Diceros bicornis minor: one gene and its partner. The main gene of each other region encodes a partner of the protein of the gene in region 2 in a complex. Links are inferred from orthologs where the notes say so. Each region holds a gene or a part of one and is shown on either strand. Other genes may lie near its edges. The genes, in order: DBN1 and ZMYND8.

Region 1 (3,905 bases), on a different chromosome or scaffold from region 2:
AAGGGAGAGAGGGAGGAGGGAGGAAGTACAGGGAGGAAGGAAGGGAGAGGGAGGAGGGAAGAAGGGAGAGAGGGAGGAGGGAGGAAGTAGAGGGAGGAAGGAAGGGAGGAAGGGAGAGGGAGGCAGGAAGAAGGGAGAAAGCAAGGAGGGAGGAAGGGAAAGAGGGAGGAGGAAGGAAGGGAGGGAGGAAGGAAGGAAGGAGGGCCTGGTCCAGCCCCATGAGATCAGGACAAGTCAAATGGCCCCCCAGCCCTCCCACTTCTCAGGATCCCTCTCTTCTGAAATCGACACAGGTGGGCTGTGGGGCCACAGGCTCCTGGTCCAACTGTTGCCCGGGCCCCAGCCCTTGCAGCTGCTTCCCAGCACAGCTGTCCCACCACCTGTCCGGCTGCCCTAGCCCACCGCTGGGAACAAAGGGCTCTCAGAGAAGCAGGGTCTGCCTCTCTCCATTCCACAGATGAGATGAGACACTGAGGCAGAACTCAGAGACCCTGGTTCCCAGACACTGCTCTAGACATCCCATCTCCCTGAGCGGAACTGTCAGCCTCTCTGTGGGCCTGGCTCCTCCCAGGAACACCTGCCCTGCCCTTCCATTCTAAACCCTTGCCTCCTCACCTCCAGTTACCTTTCCCTGCTGTGGCCACAGCCCTTACCTGGTGGAAACCATAGCGAAGTTCAAATCCTTCAACAGGCCTTCAACCCTGAGCTCTGCCCCACCTGCCTTTCCAGCCAGATGTCCGTATCCACACCACATACTTCAGTCACACTGGATGGCTCCCTGATCCCGAACACAGTTCTGGATATTTCCCACCCTCAAGCCTTTGCATATTCAGGAAGGCCAGACCTGCTTCTGCACCCCATGCCCACCCCTGGCTGAAGTCCCTCAGGAACCCAATACCAGCTCCCCAGGAAGCCCTGTCCTGAGCGGCCCCTTCCCCAGAGCACTTACCACACCCTAGCAGGGACAGGAAGGGGCATCTGAGCCCACCCCAGATCCCACTAGACCCATGTTTCTCAGAAAACACATCAGAGGCAGCCTGGGCCTGGAAGGGTGGGAGCTGGTGAAACCGCAAGGAATCAGGATGGGGGCCCTGGAATCTATGTCTCACTAGCTCCACTCCTGGAGACAGACGCTTCCAACTGGAAGCTTCGTGAAGGCAGGATGACTAACCCCATCAATCAACATATCACTCTCTGGGTTCTGGGGCCAGCCCAGAGCAGCAGCAGTAGGTGTTTGTGATACTGACACAGACTCCGAGAAACCATCCTAGGCCAGAGAAACTGGACTGGGGTGGGGGGAGCCAAAATGTAGCAGGAAGATCCTTGGGTCAGCTGATGGGGGGTGCTGAGAGCAGGCAGACCCCTCAGGACAATCACACTCAGAACGTTAGGGCTGGAAGGGCCCCGGCTGTCCCAGAGATGGCTGAGCCAACCCCCTCCTCCTGTTTTCAAGAAGACCAGAGAGCAGCCGGAACTTGTGTGTGGTCACACAGCGAGTCGTATCACGTCCACGGCGACACGGGCTCTTCCCACTATAAAACCTGACTTCCTGGGTCCCCCGCCCCCAGCGCCAGGGCAGTGGTCCATTTCAGAGTGAGCTCCCTCCCACACCCCCACTCAGAGGCAACGTCAGGGAGGGCAGTGCCAAGCCTCCTCTGTCCAGACAGCAATATTACCCAAGACGCCCTCTTGCAGCCTCTGAATGTAGAGTCTGCCCCTGAGTCTTGAGACCCCCTGCACTGCTGGCTCTGTGCTGGGTGCTGGAGGCACTCAAGCCCCCTCTGCAGGATGTGATCCTCACACCCTTTTCACGAAATGCTATCTGGGCCCTTGGGAGTGAGCAAATGTGTGTATGTGTGAGGGTGCGTGTGTGCATCTGTGTGTGTGTCCCACACACAACCCAGATGGGGGTTGACGTACACTACTGATGAATAACTCGCTTTGGCCACATGGATGCTGCTGGGTGGTGGGAGCCCAGGCCTCTGCTGAGCAGAATGCGGGCCAGCAGTGGCTGTACGACCCTGCATGGGCCACCAGGGGGAAATGGGGCGGTGATGGACAGTGCCCACCATACTGGAGGGCGAGGGGGGTATTCTGAGGTGGGCTGTGCCTCTCTCCAGGCAGGGCCCATATCCCAAGGCCAGCTCCTCCATGAGGTCAAGCTGGCTACCTACCCTGAACTCCTCCCATGATCTCAGCCCCCCAGGGGCAGGGCTGGGACAATGGGTGGGCCGCCTGCCCGCTTAGCCTCTGCTGACCTCTCTCATGACTGACCTGCAAGACATGAGAGCTCGTCTCTGGCGTCCATCCCTCCAGGCCTGGCTGCCCGCCAGTGCTGCAGTACTGTGGCATGGACGCCTGGCCATCTTGTCCCCTCCTCCAGCCCCCAGGTCAGTATCCCTACTTGACTGCCATCCCAGCATGAGGGTGAGGCCAGCCCAAGGGAGGTTCCTCAGACCTGCCCTCACTCTGTGCCTCAGTTTCCTGCCTGCCAGAAGAAGAGGGGGCCTAGGGAACAGAATGGACACCTGCCCCAGGGCAAGAGTGTTTAGGGGAAGATGATTCCTGAATGGAGCAATGTGGAACCCCTTGGCTCTCCTGCCACCCTGGGGACTCCGGCTCCAGAGCAGGCAGTCCATCCCCTCCCACAGCTCAAGGGGAGACAACAGCTGGAGAGCGGCAAGAGGGCAGCCTAGCTCCTCCCTCACCAGAGAGCCACGAGCCCCTTGACACTGGGTGATGGAGCTAGGGACTCAGTGGATCCACTCACCCCCTCATCCCTCTCTGGGGGCTCCCTCCACATTTCTGTGCCTGACGGCTTCCTCTCAGGGACCCCAGTGGGCGGGCGAGGTAGGCAGTTGGGTCCCCTTGGCATCACCCAGCCCGGCTGATCCGTCCCTGCACTCCCCTTCAGATCGTCCCTGCACTCCCCTTCAGATCGGGGAGAGGAGGACTCATCCCTGCCTCCCCCGCGACCCCTGAGGGGAACAGGAGTCACTTGGCGGTTGCCATGTGGCAGTGAACATCTTTCCATCACATCCCAACTCGGAGAGGCCCCCCCGGTGGGCGGGGCGCCCCGGCCCCCAGCCCGCCCCGCTCCTCCCCCGCCCTGGCTTTCCTTTGTGCTGCGGCCGGGCCGGGCTGGGCCAGGCAGGCTGCGCTGGCTCCGCTGGCTCGGTCCCCGCCCCATCCCCGCCCGGTCCTCGCCCGCTCGAAGGTGGCGAAGGTGCCCTTGGCCGTCCCGTGCACACCTGTCCCCCGGGCCCGGGGCGGGGGCAGGGGGCGGGGAAGGGGCTCCCGCAGGGCCACGCGGCCCCGGGCCACACATCTGGACCCTGCGTCTCTCCGGGCCGCATCCCGCCACGGCTCCGCCGCGCGACTGGGGCCGCCTCCGGGCGCTCGGGGCCCGGCACTGTCCCGCCCGGCCGGCCCCTCCCCCGGCGCGCACAAAGGCAGCCCCTCCCCGGCCCTCCCGGGCCGCTGCACCATTTCGGGGTCTCCCCTCCCTCCCGGCTACGGGGCGGCGGGCCGCGCGGAAACAAAGGCGCGGCGGCGGCGGCGCGGGGACAAAGGGCCGGGGGGCGGGGGCGGGGGGCTCACCAGTCGGCCGCGCTCTCCTCCCGAATCACCTCCTCGTACGCCGCCAGCAGCTCCAGGCGGTGGCCGCTGAAGCTGACGCCGGCCATGCTGCGGGCCGGACCGAGGCCGCACGGACAGAGGCGCGGGTGGACGGACGGACAGAGGAGGAGGGAGGAAAAGAGGGAGTCGCCGCCGCCACCGCCTCGGAGCCTCTGCAGCGCCGCAAGCCGAGTGAGCCAGCGGGCGGGGGAAGGGGAGCCGGCCGGCGGGGGGCGGGGGGCGCTGGCTCCGCCCGGCTCGCTCCCTCCGCGCGCCCGGTCCTAGCG
Region 2 (3,905 bases):
ATGTTACCTGCCTGCTCAAAATCGTCCATGGGCAGCACTATTCACAATAGCCAAAAGGTGGAAGTAACCCAATTGTCCATCAACAGATGAATGGATAAACAAAATGTGGTATATGCACACAATGGAATATTACTCAGCCATAAAAAGGAACGAAGTACTGATGCATACTACAACATAGATGAACCTTGAAAACGTTATGCTAAGTAAAAGAAGCCAGACACAAAAAGCCACATGTTGTACAATTCCATTTATATGAAATATCCAGAATAGGCAAATCCATAGAGACAGAGAGTGGATTTATGGTTGCCAGGGACTGGGGAGAGGGGAAATGAGGAGTGACTGCTTAATGGGTACAGGGTTTTTCCTTTTGGGGTGATGAAAAAGTTCTGGAACTAGATAGTAGCAGTTGCACAACATTGTGAATGTACGTAATGCCACTGGATTGTACACTTTAAAATGGGTAAAATGGTAAATTTTACATTATGTGTATTTTATCACAATTAAAAAAGCCTTCCACAGCCTGCTCATCTCACGTGGGATAAAATCCCAATTCCTCTGCATGCCCTCCCCTCAACTCCTACCAGCTCCCCCAGCTCACTCCACTCCAGCCACCTCTGTCCTCCACCTTGCTATTTTTCAATGCAACTTTTGCTTTTTTTGTGTCTCTCTTTTGACCTTAAAGTTGTAAGTATTTGTATCTCGCTCTCGAACTCCCCTGCTATGTTATAAACTCTGTGAGTGTAGAACTGTGTTTTACAGATCCTGGGTCCCCTCCAGCAGCATCATGACTATCTATTACAGGAACTCGGTGTTTGTTGAATGACTAAATGATTGCTCGTTTCTACAGAGTTACATCCACTTTCTGGCACTGAGCCATGTCTTCATACCTTCCCACCATAAATCACAACCTTTCATTCCCCTGCTCAGAACCCTCCAATGGTTTCCCATGACTTCAGAACAGTAGTCTGCAAACTACAGCCCCGGGGCCAAATCCAGCCCACACCTGTTTTTGTCTGGCCCTCTAGCTAAAAATGGCTTTTTACACTTTAAAATGGTTGAAGAAAATCAAAAATAAAAATTTGTGGCCTGCATGAATTATATGAAATTCAAATTTCAGCGTCCACAAGTCAAGTTTTAATGCAACACGGCCATGGACATTCATTAGTTTATAGTCCACGCTGCTTTTGTGCCACAATGGCAAGGCTGAATAGTTGCAACAGAGACCATATGTGGCCCTCAAAGCCTAAAATATTTACTCTCTGGTCTTTACAGAAAACCTTTGCAACTCTCTCTTTCGGAAGAAAATCCTGTTGCTCTGAGCATGGCCTGCAGAGCCCCCTCCGGGCTACTTTAAGATGACTCCCCCTCCCTCCCTCTGCGCTGGGAGCACTGGCCTCCGTCCTCAGCTCCTCCTCAGCCTCTCCAGGCTCGCTCCACCTCGAGTCTCATGCGCCCAGTCTCTCCCCCGGAACACCTTCCTTCACATGTGGCTCCTTCTCGACTCAGGTCCCACCTCTTGCCAGAGCCCTCTCCTGACCAGCCATCTGACGCAGACTCCCTTACGTTTTCTGGGACGTCGCCATGTTATTTTCTTCCTAGGACTTAGCACAACATCTAAGCACCGTATTTCTTTGTTTACTTACTTTTTGCCTCTGTACTAAGGCAGGGACTTGTATATCTGTTCACCAGTGTTCCCGGGGCCAGCATAGGCCTGGGGCGTAATAGTTTCTCGATAAATATTTGTCTAATGAGTGGCCTTTTCTTCTTACCTGAAGTATCTATACAAGATCTCCAGTGCATCAACCATGGCCCCAATTTGGACTTTGTAACTTCTTGCACAATCTATTAGGTTGAACTGCATGCAGTTAAAATTTGCATATGAATCTAAAAAGTCGAATACCAGTAATTTCATCGATGGCGGTATGTAGAAATATAAATCAACTAATTCTCCCGTTCAGCTATTTACTGCCCTCCAGCCACCTTGACCTACTTTGGGGTCCTCGAAATGTGCCAGTTGTCTCCTGCCAAACTAGATCCCACCCCTTATGGAGCTTTGCACTTATTCCTTCTGCTTCAGATCCAGGACCAAATGTCACCTCCTCCAGGAGGCCCCCTGGGATCACATCATGTCACAACAGCAGTTTTATTTTCTCCCCAGCACTTAACACATTCTAAAATTAAGTGTTGTTATATTTGCTTTTCCAGGCAGGAAACGTGTCGTTTTCATATATACTGTTGTCACCCAGGGTCTAGAGCAGGTCTGGCACTCAAGAGTGTCTCAAAGCTTATTTGAGTGTAATGTAAATTCCTTGAGCTTTTAACTTCTTAAATAGTTTGGTTGTTACCGGGTACAAAAAACGCTGAACATATACTTGCTAAGTAACTGGAGTGACTTCTCTGGGCTTTAGCCTCCTTCCACAGCCACCCCTGCCTCCATCGCCCTCCTCGTTGTCATGACAACAGCAGCAGCATCCATATTATCATCTTCACCTTGGAAGAGCGCCTTGCACTTATCGAGGTTCACCACGTGCCAGGCACTGTTCTAAGCACATTTTAGGTATTAATTAATTTAATCCTCCCAATAACTCTGGGAACCAGGTACCATTATTACCCTCATTTTACAGATGAGAAAACTGAGGCGCAGAGAGATTAAGTAATTTACCCGTCTGAAAAAGGAAGACATTCAGAACAAAAATGAAGTCTAAGCCCTCTTGGTCTCTAAAATACCGAGAAACAAATACTATGGAGAAAGGGAAACAAAACAGACAGGAAACACTCAAAGGCGATAGGAACCAATTTAGCAACAACAACAAAAAACACACCAAAGGCAGAAAGAAATCCCAGACATAGAGCAATTTGGTCAAAACTCAACTCTCAGGTGTTCTCAGGCCACCAAGCTCCCGGATTTCCCATCCAGTTCTGCAAGCCCCAGACCTGGATGTCACCCTTGACCTCTCCTCTCCCCGCTCCCACCCCAGAGCCCCGTGGGATTTACCTCCTGAGCGTCTTCCACGGTCGATTCCGGCCGCGTAGCTCCATTCTGCAGAGCTGGTGGCTGGCTCTGGAGCCACCATTATCTGTTATCTGGGCAGGAAGGGAACAGCCTCCCACCAGCCCCCAGGCCCCAGGCAGCTCCCATCCCCCACCCTCAGCAGCCAGAGGGATCTTTTGAAATTTCAATTTGGACCAGGACACACCCCCATCTCCCACCCCCCACCTCTAAGACCCTTCAAAGGTTTCCCATTGTTCTCTGGCCAAAGTCTCAAATTCTTAAGTGAGCCTTCGCGGGCCTGCAGGATTCCCTTCTCCAACTTCAGCTCCATTCTCTGAGCTCCAGCCAGACCCCAGCCAGCCTGGAAGGTTCAAATCCTAACGCTGCCATTCACTCACTGTGTGACCTTGTGCGAGTAACTTAACCTCTCTGGGCCTGTGAAATGTGGATAATAACACCTCCCAGAGCGTCATCAGGATTAAATCAGTTCCAGTAGTAAAAGTCATTATTTAGCGCTGTGTCTGGCACCACTTAGTTATCACTGTTGTTATCAGGTATCTCCTACACATCCTTCAAAACCCAACACAGGGGCCGGCCCTGTGGCTTAGTGGTTAAGTGCGGGCGCTCCGCTGCTGGCGCTGCTGGCGGCCAGGGTTCAAATCCTCGGTGCGCACCGAGGCACCGCTTCTCCGGCCATGCTGAGGCCGCGTCCCACATACAGCAACTGGAAGGATGTGCAGCTATGACATACAACTATCTACTGGGGCTTTGGGGGGAAAAATAAAAAAATAAATAAAATTATTTAAAAAAAAAAACACAAAATTCATTTCTTCAAGGTAGCCTTCCTGGACCCACTTTTCAATAAAATGGATCCCCCTGCTATAAGGTGCTTATGGCAATCATAATTTAATAT

What was found.
Region 1: the proteins of ZMYND8 (region 2) and DBN1 are in contact, whole or in part, in a crystal structure (PDB 5Y1Z), measured with the Homo sapiens proteins. The link is inferred for Diceros bicornis minor from reciprocal best matches to the Homo sapiens genes ZMYND8 and DBN1. Residues at the interface, in NP_001350670.1 of Homo sapiens: Gln167, Pro168, Gly169, Thr170, Gln236, Ile237, Val240, Lys243, Ile244, His247, Trp269, Leu285, Gly287, Phe288, Phe307, Gly309, Gln310, His311, Asp312, Ala314, Thr335, Lys336, Ser337, Ile338; in NP_004386.3 of Homo sapiens: Met1, Ala2, Phe6, Ser7, Arg10, Leu11, Leu14, Tyr17, Glu18, Asp92, Ala93, Cys96, Ala97, Ala99, Ser100, Lys104, Glu107, Phe108, Gln110.

Annotation. Positions count from the first base shown.
Region 1 is NC_080740.1:90,683,200-90,687,104, forward strand, and holds the start of DBN1 (drebrin), read right to left. Parts: upstream 2,709-3,905; 5' UTR 2,640-2,708; coding exon 2,275-2,639; intron 1-2,274. UniProt on the Homo sapiens protein: Actin cytoskeleton-organizing protein that plays a role in the formation of cell projections. Required for actin polymerization at immunological synapses (IS) and for the recruitment of the chemokine receptor CXCR4 to IS.
Region 2 is NC_080758.1:14,226,794-14,230,698, reverse strand, and holds the start of ZMYND8 (MYND-type zinc finger-containing chromatin reader ZMYND8), read right to left. Parts: upstream 3,079-3,905; 5' UTR 3,040-3,078; coding exon 2,996-3,039; intron 1-2,995. UniProt on the Homo sapiens protein: Chromatin reader that recognizes dual histone modifications such as histone H3.1 dimethylated at 'Lys-36' and histone H4 acetylated at 'Lys-16' (H3.1K36me2-H4K16ac) and histone H3 methylated at 'Lys-4' and histone H4 acetylated at 'Lys-14' (H3K4me1-H3K14ac).